Saccharomyces cerevisiae S288C: one gene and its partners. The protein of the gene in region 1 interacts with the protein of each later gene in a biochemical or structural test. Each region holds a gene or a part of one and is shown on either strand. Other genes may lie near its edges.

Region 1 (4,521 bases):
ACACCAAATGATGAATAACAACGGCAACCAAGTGTCGAATCTCTCCAATGCGCTCCGTCAAGTAAACATAGGAAACAGGAACAGTAATACAACCACCGATCAAAGTAATATAAATTTTGAATTTTCAACAGGTGTAAATAATAATAATAATAACAATAGCAGTAGTAATAACAATAATGTTCAAAACAATAACAGCGGCCGCAATGGTAGCCAAAATAATGATAACGAGAATAATATCAAGAATACCTTAGAACAACATCGACAACAACAACAGGCATTTTCGGATATGAGTCACGTGGAGTATTCCAGAATTACAAAATTTTTTCAAGAACAACCACTGGAGGGATATACCCTTTTCTCTCACAGGTCTGCGCCTAATGGATTCAAAGTTGCTATAGTACTAAGTGAACTTGGATTTCATTATAACACAATCTTCCTAGATTTCAATCTTGGCGAACATAGGGCCCCCGAATTTGTGTCTGTGAACCCTAATGCAAGAGTTCCAGCTTTAATCGATCATGGTATGGACAACTTGTCTATTTGGGAATCAGGGGCGATTTTATTACATTTGGTAAATAAATATTACAAAGAGACTGGTAATCCATTACTCTGGTCCGATGATTTAGCTGACCAATCACAAATCAACGCATGGTTGTTCTTCCAAACGTCAGGGCATGCGCCAATGATTGGACAAGCTTTACATTTCAGATACTTCCATTCACAAAAGATAGCAAGTGCTGTAGAAAGATATACGGATGAGGTTAGAAGAGTTTACGGTGTAGTGGAGATGGCCTTGGCTGAACGTAGAGAAGCGCTGGTGATGGAATTAGACACGGAAAATGCGGCTGCATACTCAGCTGGTACAACACCAATGTCACAAAGTCGTTTCTTTGATTATCCCGTATGGCTTGTAGGAGATAAATTAACTATAGCAGATTTGGCCTTTGTCCCATGGAATAATGTCGTGGATAGAATTGGCATTAATATCAAAATTGAATTTCCAGAAGTTTACAAATGGACGAAGCATATGATGAGAAGACCCGCGGTCATCAAGGCATTGCGTGGTGAATGAAGGCTGCTTTAAAAACAAGAAAGAAAGAAGAAGGAGGAAAAGAAGGTTATAAGGGTATGTATATAGGCAGACAAAAAGGAAAATTAAGTGCAAATATAAACAAAAATGTCATAGAAGTATATAATAGTTTTGAAATTTCTGTTGCTTCTATTTATTCTTTGTTACCCCAACCACAGAATTCCAAAATTTTGTTTTATGTAATAATTGAAATACTATAAATTTCTCAACTATATTCGGGGTGTTGTCACTGTATATCTGGCGCTTTCAATAAAGCTGGTACAATTGCGTATTTTTCTCGGCATTTGCCACGATGGGCTTAAGAAAGATCACAATAGAAAATTTCAAATATTTAATATTTGCGAAGAAGGGATTTGTTCAGTTATGACGATTAGATACATATGTAACTTACATGCAAACGGTTTTTGTTCATGGAAATACGTTCTAGTGAATGTATAAATCGATTGATGTCGAGATATGAAAAGTTTACAAACACTATGTGAAATCTCATTGATGAGAAATCATTCAAACATACAATCTGTGAGTAATGTCCCCTATCACTTATTAAAGAGGATACTGCAGAAAGTAAAAATACCACAACTATTAAAACTTGAGAAAAGCAACGTACTATTGATATTTGACGATGATGAACTATGGTTAGAATTTTTAAGGCAAGATTTCCCGACTAATGTACACGAACAATTTGTCTCTAAGAGAGACATTATTTGCAAATATTACTTTGATTTCGTTAAGGAAAACGATATAGAACTGTACCATTCGAATCAGGATTTATTGAAGTCTTGCGTGCGTCAATCAGTCGTCAAAGACATCCGAAACAACAAGTACCGAATACCATACAGAATGTTATACTCAAAGTACCAACAAGAAGTGGAAAAGAAACAAGAGGAAAGCGCAGAGAGATTAAGGCTGGAAATGCAGAAGTTGCAGCAAGAAAGAGAAAAAAAGCAAACCATAGTGGTTGACCACACTGTTTACTTCAAAAAGAGAAACACCAAGAAGACTACAAGGTTGCACAACGAACCCCATTCGCAATTATACATGAAATCGTTGAAAGATCACGAGTCCAGACTAAAGCATTTCAAAGACGGCGGATTCAACATTGCAAAAAGGCATGCGCAACGTGTGGCCTTTGGTGGCCAAGCGGGCGGACAATCGTCTTCCCCCAAGAAAGGCCCATTGTCCATCAAACCGGAGCCTGTTAAGGTAAATCGTCAAATGGATAATGTCACAGCAGAGAAGAAAGATGTTACGCAGCCCATCACGCCGGTGAAGAAGAGAAGATCCGAATCACCGTCAATCTTTCTCAATCGTAAAAAACCTGCGCTATTCAGGCCTACTCCGAAGACAAACGCTGCAGGTTCTCGACCCCATACAACAGCGATCACCAACGATCACCGTACTACTTCTCATCCTTATCCCCACAAAGATGTTGTAACTTCAATATCAAGTGTCACCGCAAATCCCGTAACAAAGGGCCACAAGAAGAAGAAATCCGGAATTTTCGTACGAAATGCCGGATCTGACGGAGATAGTTTTCCGCACGTGACCGCAACCGGCCCTACTACCCGTCCGTATATCTATGAGCCACGGAAATAGCAGTAACCCAACTCCGAAGGCCGTCACATCCCCTGCGATTTCCCACGGGTCCAGTCATTCCGCGGAGAAAGAAAGCAACCGGAAGCAACGGCATCCCTGCTTATAAGCGATTTTCGCGTTGCGCGTCATCTTTTTGTCTTCCGTCTTAGTAATTTTTATGATTTTTTTCATTCCACCCGACTCTATTTGAGTGCAAGCATGCGATATATCTCTCTATATATTGCCAGATCTTTATCGCAATAGGTTCATGCACTATATGCGCATCCCACTCTTGTACATGCACAATATTGTGCTCATTGTCTGAATATATATATATTTATATATATATATGTATGTATATATATCAGTTCTAGATAGACTAATACCACTTCTTCGTTAGAAAAATATTTCAATCCTTATTTTGTTTCTAACTGTTCCCTTCTCTCCATCCAACAAATAATACAAAACCACTTTATATAAAAAAAATTACAAAAGCAAAAAATGTTCAAGAGATTTAGCAAAAAGAAGGAGGCTCCAGAAGACCCAAAAAATTTGATTAATATTGATAAGCCTATCAAAGAACTTCCTGCTTCGATAGCTATTCCAAAAGAAAAACCACTTACAGGTGAGCAACAAAAAATGTATGACGAAGTGCTAAAACATTTCAGTAACCCTGACTTGAAGGTTTATACAAGTGAAAAAAATAAGTCGGAGGATGATCTTAAACCCTTAGAGGAAGAAGAAAAGGCATGGTTGACAAGAGAATGTTTTTTACGTTACCTAAGGGCTACTAAATGGGTGCTAAAAGACTGTATCGATAGAATCACCATGACTCTAGCGTGGAGAAGAGAATTCGGTATTAGTCATTTAGGTGAAGAGCATGGTGATAAAATAACTGCTGACTTGGTGGCCGTCGAGAACGAATCAGGTAAGCAGGTGATTTTGGGTTACGAAAACGATGCTAGACCTATCTTATATTTGAAACCGGGCAGACAAAATACAAAGACTTCTCACAGACAGGTACAGCACTTGGTCTTCATGTTGGAAAGAGTTATCGATTTTATGCCAGCTGGTCAAGACTCTCTAGCTTTGCTAATAGACTTTAAAGATTACCCTGATGTTCCTAAAGTACCTGGCAATAGTAAAATCCCACCTATTGGTGTAGGGAAAGAAGTGCTGCATATTCTACAAACTCATTATCCAGAAAGACTAGGAAAAGCACTTTTGACGAATATTCCTTGGTTAGCATGGACTTTCTTGAAGTTAATTCACCCTTTTATTGACCCACTGACCCGTGAAAAGCTAGTTTTTGATGAACCATTTGTTAAATATGTCCCTAAGAACGAACTAGATTCGTTGTATGGTGGTGATCTGAAATTCAAGTACAATCATGATGTTTATTGGCCAGCTCTGGTGGAAACCGCGCGTGAAAAAAGAGATCATTATTTTAAGAGGTTTCAAAGCTTCGGTGGTATTGTAGGTTTAAGTGAGGTTGATTTAAGAGGTACTCATGAAAAACTTCTTTACCCAGTAAAATCGGAAAGCAGTACCGTGTAAAGGCAAATTTAGATAGATAATGATAATGCACTATAATATATAATAAATAAAAGAGAATAAAAAGTTTAATCACGTTCCCGCTTCTTTTTCCTAACCATCAAAGAATGCAATCTAAAGAAGAAGAAGCGAATACCCTCTTTTAAATATATACGCGTCTATATGCACTGTAGATAAGCTGTTACATATCAAAAAGGTTTGGCACATTTGCGCTTTTCTGTAGCGCCTGTAACCGGTGAAGTCATCATTTGCCAGTCTGTAGCATACATCAATCCACCAGCACCATTAGCAGCTCTGGCGAA
Region 2 (6,317 bases), on another chromosome or scaffold:
AAATATCTTGTATCGTTTAGCATAGTTGCTTTCTTGACTTTTTTATGGGAAATGGTCTTTTTAGTCATTGGTTTTGGAGGATCTTGGGAAAGATTATTCAAAGCCAAAACTTCCATTTCCCCAGTCATTGAACCCAGAATAACAATGTCTGAGTCAGATATATCAAAGATTTCCGAGTCTTTCACACTGAGAGTTTGCCTAATGATCCAATTGTCTATTATCACGCAGAACTTCTGCGTGGGGGAAAGAGGCACTTCACCCCATATTTGCACAGTATGGTTTTTCTCCATTTCAAAACAAGACCATATTCTCAGAACTTTATCTTCACACAGCGTATAAAGAGCATGAGAGGCAGTGTTGTTTTTACTCACCTGGTCTGGCTCTTTTTTCCACCGCATTGCAGTTATAGGTTTCGGATGAGGCAACATAGTAAGGTTAAAGATGGCTTGTTCTCCGACTATTGAAACACGCTTCCATAGTTTAGCATTACAGTCGTACTTCCCAATACTGACTATCAGCTGCGAATCTTGTGATATAATCACATTATAAACAGGTTTAGGCTGTTTTTGGTTCCACTGCAAAATAGGTTGATACACACCAAAATTATCCTTAATTTTCCAAAAAGAAAGAAAATCAGATCCAATGGCTAACTCATTATCAGAAGACCATCTTAGGCAGTTTACTGGCGTGTCATCATGGAACAACTGGCAACATTGGGTCCACTTGGGATTCTGCATAATTTGATGAATGGGCTTGTAGATGAGCACCCTATTGTGGAAGGAAAGGGCAATGAATCCATTCTGGCTGTTAATATCGACCGCAGTACAGTCTGATTGTGTATATATGGTCTGTAACCTAGTGAATTTGTTGGTAAGTATGATTAAATTATTCCCTGAACAATATGCAAAGATGGTATGATTTTGCCATGTTGCTTGACAAGCTGTCTGAGGGGTAGCATTGGGGCGTCCTGGAAGAAAGTTCAATGACATGAGAACTACCTTTGCGTGTGCACGTTTGTTTACTTTCTCAATTGTTTGCGGTGTTCTTAGATCCCTTTAATTATTAAAAAAACTGAAGTGCTTGAAACAATAACATAACGAGGTTTCGCTATGCGGGCAGCTTTAAAGAAAGAGGGATAGTATATTAAAAGGCTGCCATAACAATTAATCGGAACAGAATAGACACAAATAAATTTGCAGTGCGTTTGTAGATATCAAAGAATGGTAGCTAGTTGTAAAGATCAGAAGAAGGCTGTCGCTATATGTTTGCAGAGATCGCCCTGTGTCATGATAGAGAGACATAACCCTCAAGAATGTCTTGACAATCCAGAGCTGAATAAGGATCTGCCCGAACTTTGTATTGCTCAGATGAAAGCATTTTTGGATTGTAAGCGAGGAATCGTCGACATGACTAAGCGGTTCACAGGTAACGCACCTCTGTCGACTGGCAAGTACGATCAACAGTACGAAAACTTGTGCAAAGGAAAGTTTGATCCGAGGGAGGAGATGGAAAAGCTAAAACTTCTGAACAGCCAGCAGAAGGACTGATTATTTATGAAAATTGGCCTGTAAATATATACATAAATAAATATATGCGTCAAGCTCTTTTATTCGGTTTGTCCAGTAATCCTCTTACAATATATATATATATATATACGCATGTAGCGTATTCAAGAACATTACATTTAAAAAATAGAGGGTAGAACAATAAAAATGCACTTAACAAGTTCCGTAAGTAGAAATTATAATCAGTCTAAGTACAAATTTATACCTTAGCTTCATTTCAGTTAAGGGCGATGCAATAAAAGTGGAAGAAAAAAAAAGAAGGGAAGAGGTTTGATAATATATATATATATATATATATAACATTGCTCAGAGAAACATACATCAGTGATGGAAGATAAAGAGCAGCAAGACAATGCGAAACTTGAAAACAATGAGTCACTAAAAGATCTGGGAGTTAACGTGCTTTCCCAAAGCAGTTTGGAGGAAAAAATAGCTAATGATGTAACTAACTTTAGCAACCTACAATCGCTGCAGCAAGAAGAGACTCGTCTAGAACGGAGTAAGACCGCTCTGCAACGTTATGTCAATAAGAAGAATCATCTCACAAGGAAGTTGAACAATACCACTAGGATATCTGTTAAGCAGAATCTCCGAGACCAGATCAAGAACTTACAATCAGACGATATTGAACGAGTTCTGAAGGACATAGACGATATCCAATCAAGGATTAAAGAGTTGAAAGAGCAGGTAGATCAAGGTGCTGAAAATAAAGGTTCCAAAGAGGGGCTGCAGAGACCCGGTGAAACTGAGAAGGAGTTTTTAATCAGGACTGGTAAGATCACTGCATTTGGACACAAGGCTGGTTTCAGCTTGGACACTGCAAACAGAGAGTATGCCAAGAATGACGAACAAAAAGATGAGGATTTTGAAATGGCAACAGAACAAATGGTAGAAAATTTAACGGATGAGGATGACAATCTCAGCGATCAAGACTATCAAATGAGTGGTAAAGAGAGTGAAGATGACGAAGAAGAAGAAAATGACGATAAAATTCTCAAAGAACTGGAAGACCTGCGGTTCAGAGGCCAACCTGGTGAGGCGAAGGATGATGGGGACGAGTTGTATTATCAAGAAAGGTTAAAAAAATGGGTGAAACAACGTTCTTGCGGTAGTCAAAGGTCATCGGACTTGCCAGAATGGCGAAGACCTCATCCGAATATTCCCGACGCAAAACTTAATAGCCAGTTCAAAATACCCGGTGAAATATACTCGCTGTTATTTAATTACCAAAAGACGTGCGTTCAGTGGCTCTATGAGCTTTACCAGCAGAACTGTGGCGGTATTATTGGTGACGAAATGGGTCTGGGAAAAACGATTCAAGTTATCGCATTTATCGCAGCGTTGCATCATTCAGGTCTATTAACAGGCCCTGTATTAATTGTCTGTCCTGCAACTGTGATGAAGCAATGGTGTAATGAGTTCCAGCATTGGTGGCCTCCATTGAGGACGGTCATATTGCACTCAATGGGTTCAGGAATGGCTTCTGACCAAAAATTTAAGATGGATGAAAACGATCTAGAGAACTTGATAATGAATTCAAAGCCAAGTGATTTTTCTTACGAGGATTGGAAGAACTCAACAAGGACAAAGAAGGCATTGGAATCAAGCTATCATTTAGATAAGTTGATAGATAAAGTCGTTACTGATGGGCACATTTTAATTACCACGTACGTTGGGTTAAGAATACATTCAGATAAGCTACTAAAAGTTAAATGGCAGTATGCTGTTTTAGATGAGGGACATAAGATTAGAAACCCAGATTCGGAGATTTCATTGACTTGCAAAAAACTGAAGACACATAATAGGATCATTCTTTCAGGAACACCGATACAGAATAATTTAACCGAGCTTTGGTCGCTTTTTGATTTCATTTTCCCTGGTAAATTAGGAACTCTACCTGTGTTTCAACAACAGTTTGTCATACCTATAAATATTGGTGGTTATGCAAACGCAACAAACATACAAGTTCAGACCGGCTACAAATGTGCTGTTGCATTGCGTGACTTGATTTCACCGTACCTGTTACGTCGTGTGAAAGCTGATGTTGCAAAAGATCTGCCACAAAAGAAAGAAATGGTTCTCTTTTGTAAGCTTACGAAATATCAAAGAAGCAAATATTTGGAGTTTCTGCATTCTTCAGATTTAAACCAAATACAAAACGGTAAGAGAAATGTTCTATTTGGTATCGACATTCTAAGGAAAATATGTAATCACCCCGATTTACTTGACAGAGATACAAAGAGACATAATCCAGATTACGGTGATCCTAAAAGATCCGGAAAAATGCAGGTTGTCAAGCAATTATTATTACTGTGGCATAAGCAGGGCTATAAAGCCCTACTCTTCACTCAATCGAGACAAATGCTCGATATTCTAGAGGAGTTTATATCAACGAAAGATCCCGATTTATCACATTTGAACTACCTACGAATGGATGGGACAACTAATATCAAAGGGAGACAGTCGTTAGTTGACCGGTTTAACAATGAATCTTTCGATGTATTCTTACTAACCACAAGAGTTGGGGGGCTAGGTGTTAATTTAACCGGTGCTAATAGAATTATCATTTTTGATCCAGACTGGAACCCATCTACTGACATGCAAGCTCGAGAAAGGGCATGGAGGATTGGGCAGAAAAGAGAGGTATCAATATATAGGTTGATGGTAGGAGGTTCAATAGAGGAGAAGATTTATCATAGACAAATATTCAAACAATTCTTAACCAACAGGATTTTGACTGATCCTAAGCAGAAACGATTTTTCAAAATTCACGAACTCCATGATCTGTTTTCACTGGGGGGTGAAAACGGTTATTCTACAGAAGAATTGAACGAAGAAGTTCAAAAACATACCGAAAATTTAAAAAATTCCAAATCAGAGGAAAGTGACGATTTTGAACAACTGGTCAACCTATCTGGCGTATCTAAACTAGAAAGCTTTTATAACGGTAAGGAAAAAAAAGAGAATAGTAAAACAGAGGATGATAGATTAATCGAAGGGTTGCTAGGAGGAGAGAGCAATTTAGAAACCGTTATGAGTCATGATTCGGTTGTCAATTCGCACGCGGGCAGTTCTTCTTCGAATATAATTACAAAAGAGGCTTCCAGAGTAGCGATTGAGGCGGTTAATGCGCTAAGGAAATCGAGAAAAAAGATCACTAAGCAATATGAAATTGGGACACCTACTTGGACAGGTAGGTTTGGTAAAGCAGGTAAAATTAGAAAGAGAGATCCGTTGAAAAATAAATTAACTGGATCAGCTGCCATTTTAGGCAATATTACAAAATCACAAAAAGAGGCATCCAAGGAAGCTCGCCAAGAAAATTACGACGATGGTATAACCTTCGCAAGATCCAAGGAAATCAATTCCAATACCAAAACGCTAGAAAATATTCGGGCATATTTACAGAAACAGAATAACTTTTTCTCATCTAGTGTTAGCATACTTAACAGCATTGGCGTCAGTCTTTCTGATAAAGAAGACGTTATTAAGGTTAGAGCATTATTAAAAACCATAGCACAGTTTGATAAAGAGCGTAAAGGGTGGGTGCTTGATGAAGAATTTAGGAATAACAATGCTTCATGAAAACTTAGAATGGACAGAGTACCCTTGACGTAACTTTACCCATAGAAATATCTATAAAAAATATGTATGTGTTATGTGTATATGTATATTCTGAAGACTCTTAGCGGAACCCGTAACCTTCAGATTCATTAATTGCCCAAAGTAATTTCAGTTCTAGTTTTTTTTTCGAGGAATAATTCCATAAACATATTTCATTAAAACATGTATGAGCCAATGGCAAATCATCACTATCATGCGACCCTAGCAAGCTAATTTTGAATGGGATAGTAGAGATACCCGTTGCAGGTATACGATCAGATGCCGTTACGAATTGTAATAATTTCTTCTGCAATGGATAGTCCCAACTTTCAATAATTTCCCAAAACCAGCAAACCGCTCTGGAATCATCGGAGAAGCCACCTACATACTTTGTCACGGATCTTAACGATTTGAAATCAAATTTAGTTTGTTCCTCATCACCACACACTAATCTCTCCAGCTCTTCAGAATTAAATAATTTTATAGAATTGCATTCTGCGAAGACCCTTTTAAAACCTGAAACAAATTTATTGTATTGTGGCTCAATGGACTTTTCCAGATAAAATTCTACCCATTTCATGACAAACTCATGCTTGTTACTTTGGGTTATTGGCACATTTCTGCCATTTTCACATAATTCTACCGTTACATACTCTTTGCTCGATTTACTGTCATTTAAAATCCAGTTGTTATTTCGATACGTAGTCTCAAATGTTAAAGAAAAGACGTCTTCGAAATTATCCTCTGTGTAATTGAGCATTTTTATTAAGTTCCTACTTGTCTCCGGAAACAATTCCGAGTAATCTTCAAAACTCAGAGGCTCTGAGCATAGTTTTTTATAAAGCGCCTTTGGAAATTGTAAATCTAATATGGTACTGTTGAAAATCGCCAACCCCATGACAACTCCAAACAAGTAATATAATTCCAGTTGTGAGTTTTTTCCTTTTGATTTGTCAAAATTTGGAGGGTCAATGGCAAACCATGAACGTGAGCTTTCTTTTATGTAAATAAATAAGCCATTCATCGGATTAAACAGCGATTTTGTTAATAAGAAAAACCATTCTTTTCTCAACCCTCCCGCATCAATTCCAGGTTCATTAACAAACTCTATTCTCAGCGATTTTAATAAATCGCCTTGATGTTCCTTGA
Region 3 (3,926 bases), on another chromosome or scaffold:
TTTACCGACAATCCTTGCATCAATAGTGTAATTGATCGAAAGGTTGTCATCAGACATATCGTTAGTTAAGATGGGGGAGCCCTTTGTACCTAAATGACCGCACCCAAGTACCCTATTGACTTTGATACCGGAATATTTGCAATTGTTCCTATATTTATCAATACCAAAACTGGGAGGTAACAAACAATGAGAGAAATGCTCCTGCTTACAAGTGACATCTAGCAATTGCAGTGGCAATTTGAAAATGAAGAATTTCTTGTACTTGACTCCGGGTTCCAGAACCCGGCTATTGTTTAGCCCAAATACAGAACCATCGTAGTCAACATCTGCGGGAATGAAGTCCACACCGGACCCCAGTGCTATTTTCGAGTATGACCAAGAAGCGCTCAAGTCTACCATCCTTAAAAACCGTTTAATCGTTCTTTTACTCTTTACTTTATCAATAATGGAAATGTAAGACTCTAAAGTGACATAGAACATTTCAAACTTTAGGTTTGCTTGAGATTTGTTTTCAATAGTGATAAAACCATGAATCAAATCCCCCGACGTATACTCTTTCAAAATGGACTCCTCCTCCGGCTTCACGTGTGGTATAGGTGCATGCTTCGTCGTCTTGATGGTGATTTCGATGGGTGTGGACATTTTTGGTAAAGTGTACAATTTGTCGATGAAAATGTTGTCTGTATCGTTCAAGTCATCAAGTATGGGAGGTATATCCAGTGAATCTTCATCGACAGCGGTTGATTGATGTGCTGCAATACTGTGATGTTCGGTTCGAAGGGGAATTAAGTTTTCTAAATTTGATGTTGACGAAGAACGTGTGGCACCCAATGCGTCAGTGGACAATGATTGATGTGAGAGATCAGCGCTCGAGCCCGCAGCACCTGTTGCAGTAGAATTATTGGCCTCTTGGTATGAAGGTGGGAAATCATGCCTATCTGGATCGACGTTGCCCTGCGGAATGTGCCTATGCAGGGTATTGTACATCTCAAATGAGGGCAGTACATCAACAACATTGTTGATATCTCCGTCGGTCAAGGACCTTCCGGTCTCGACGGGGGTCGCATTTGCAGTTGATCTTCTCAAAGGAGAACGATTACCTCCAGCAGGCGTTCCGGTGGAAGGAGCATGCGAATGAGAATGTGCTAGTTCGGGACGTCTTAGTCCAAGGATCCCCGTAGCAGACGCGCTTCTTATCCATGATTTTGGAGAGTGTAACGACGGTGACCTCGAACTGCCTTTACCACCCTCTTGTTTCTGCCTACCACGCCCCCTTGTGTTTGCATTAACGTTCATAGTTGTCGAACTATTTGCGGTAAAATCAGATCGTTGAGGACGCAGCAAAGGCTTCCTCTTCGGTGGAAACCCCGAATCGTTCAAATCTTTGGCCATTTAGCGTACGATATACCTGTTGACACACACGAACAGTCTCTTTTCGCCCTTGCTAAGAGCTTCTTTCCATAATCACTATGCGGCTCTTCATTGCAATACTTTTATCATTATTAAAATAGCCTCTGAGAGCGGGTCACGGCCCGCTGAAGGGAAAGAACAATTTAAAGCCAGTTTTAAGTTCAATCCACCGATGGACGAGAGGCAAATAAGACGGATCAAAGACACCGAATCATTCTAGCACGATAATGTCGTTGAATATACATATCAAGTCAGGACAAGACAAGTGGGAAGTAAATGTGGCACCTGAAAGCACAGTGTTGCAATTCAAGGAGGCGATAAACAAAGCGAACGGTATCCCGGTGGCAAATCAGAGATTGATCTACTCGGGTAAGATTTTAAAGGACGACCAAACCGTGGAGTCATACCACATTCAAGACGGTCACAGCGTCCATCTGGTCAAGTCACAACCCAAACCACAAACCGCCAGTGCCGCTGGCGCAAATAACGCCACCGCCACCGGTGCAGCAGCTGGCACTGGCGCCACCCCGAACATGTCGTCAGGTCAAAGTGCAGGCTTCAATCCGCTGGCCGACTTGACCAGTGCCAGATACGCTGGATATTTGAATATGCCATCTGCAGACATGTTTGGCCCGGACGGTGGTGCATTAAACAACGACTCGAATAACCAAGACGAGCTGTTGAGGATGATGGAAAACCCCATCTTCCAATCGCAAATGAACGAGATGTTGAGTAACCCTCAGATGTTGGACTTTATGATCCAGTCCAACCCGCAATTGCAGGCCATGGGTCCACAAGCCAGGCAAATGCTACAAAGTCCCATGTTTAGACAGATGCTCACCAATCCTGATATGATTAGACAGAGCATGCAATTCGCAAGAATGATGGACCCTAATGCCGGTATGGGCTCTGCAGGTGGGGCTGCCTCTGCCTTCCCCGCTCCTGGTGGCGATGCTCCAGAGGAAGGCTCCAACACGAACACTACTTCCTCATCCAACACAGGGAACAACGCAGGGACTAATGCAGGTACCAACGCAGGCGCTAACACAGCTGCAAACCCATTTGCGTCTCTTCTGAACCCTGCATTAAACCCCTTTGCTAACGCGGGAAACGCTGCATCCACCGGGATGCCCGCCTTCGATCCTGCATTGCTAGCGTCTATGTTCCAACCCCCTGTACAAGCATCTCAAGCAGAAGACACCAGACCACCGGAAGAACGCTATGAACATCAATTAAGACAACTAAACGACATGGGCTTCTTCGATTTCGATAGAAACGTCGCAGCCCTCAGGAGAAGCGGTGGCTCCGTCCAAGGCGCTCTTGATTCACTACTGAACGGCGATGTTTAAATAAACGTCTAGATGCCGCAACCTATATACTTTTACCCTACTCTATCGGCATATATTTAATCTACGTATTACATGTATCCATCAATAATATCATCATAATATCTGGACACTTTTGGAAGACGCGCCCTTGCGAAAGAAAAAAAAAAATTTTCGTTTCACACCTACAGTAATAAACACATAATAACAACGAGCTAATCATCCCAATCAATCACCCCTTCCCCCTTTAATTAGCAGCCAGGGTACTGTATTTAGTCATATAGCGGTACTTGCATTGACCGCGAACGTGTAAACACAAGCAAAGCAGATTATGACCACACAAATAAGGTCTCCCCAAGGCTTGCCGTATCCGATTCAGATCGATAAACTCATTCCAAGCGTAGGTTCGTACCTTCATGAGGGTGATAGGTTGCTTGTCTATAAGTTCTGGTATTTGGTGGAAAGGGCCTCAGACACTGGTGACGATGATAACGAGCACGATGTTTCCCCCGGCGGCAGCGCCGGAAGTAATGGTGTCTCTCCGCCAACCAAACAACTGCGTGAATCCATAGAATTCTTCGAAAGTCCCTACGAGGGGGACTTGATTAGTTGGAATGTAGACGTAGGAGATGAAGTAGCCACTGCTAACCAAGTGATTTGCGAAATAAAAAGGCCATGTAACCATGACATCGTGTATGGCGGGCTATGTACTCAATGCGGGAAAGAAGTTTCTGCAGATGCCTTCGATGGTGTACCACTAGACGTTGTCGGGGACGTGGATTTACAGATTAGCGAGACAGAAGCCATTAGAACAGGCAAGGCATTGAAGGAGCATTTGCGACGGGATAAGAAACTTATCTTAGTGGTGGATTTAGATCAAACCATCATCCATTGTGGCGTGGACCCTACGATTGCAGAGTGGAAGAACGACCCCAATAATCCGAATTTTGAAACATTAAGAGACGTCAAGAGCTTTACGTTGGATGAGGAGTTAGTACTCCCACTTATGTACATGAATGACGATGGTTCTATGCTGAGACCGCCTCCCGTAAGAAAATGTTGGTACTACGTGAAGGTAAGGCCCGGTTTAAAGGAATTTTTCGCTAAAGTGGCGCCTCTTTTTGAAATGCATATCTACACAATGGCTACAAGGGCTTATGCCTTGCAAATTGCCAAAATCGTGGACCCTAC

The links. The genes of interacting proteins can lie anywhere in the genome.
Region 2: the proteins of ELA1 (region 1) and RAD26 form a complex in vitro, tested with the Saccharomyces cerevisiae proteins (one study listed by BioGRID).
Region 3: the proteins of ELA1 (region 1) and DSK2 form a complex in vitro, tested with the Saccharomyces cerevisiae proteins (one study listed by BioGRID).

What each region holds. Positions count from the first base shown.
Region 1 is NC_001146.8:215,688-220,208, reverse strand, and holds ELA1 (elongin A), read left to right. Parts: upstream 1-1,546; coding exon 1,547-2,686; downstream 2,687-4,521. Other genes in the region: URE2 (glutathione peroxidase), read left to right, coding at 8-1,072; PDR16 (phosphatidylinositol transporter), read left to right, coding at 3,167-4,222; exosome non-catalytic core subunit CSL4, read right to left, coding at 4,408-4,521.
Region 2 is NC_001142.9:495,463-501,779, forward strand, and holds RAD26 (DNA-dependent ATPase RAD26), read left to right. Parts: upstream 1-1,892; coding exon 1,893-5,150; downstream 5,151-6,317. Other genes in the region: RAV1 (Rav1p), read right to left, coding at 1-989; PET191 (Pet191p), read left to right, coding at 1,221-1,547; putative E3 ubiquitin-protein ligase HUL4, read right to left, coding at 5,251-6,317. UniProt on the Saccharomyces cerevisiae protein: May be involved in the preferential repair of active genes.
Region 3 is NC_001145.3:817,190-821,115, forward strand, and holds DSK2 (ubiquitin domain-containing protein DSK2), read left to right. Parts: upstream 1-1,637; coding exon 1,638-2,759; downstream 2,760-3,926. Other genes in the region: ubiquitin-ubiquitin ligase BUL1, read right to left, coding at 1-1,392; FCP1 (protein serine/threonine phosphatase), read left to right, coding at 3,067-3,926. UniProt on the Saccharomyces cerevisiae protein: Involved, with RAD23 in spindle pole body duplication. Involved in the ubiquitin-proteasome proteolytic pathway.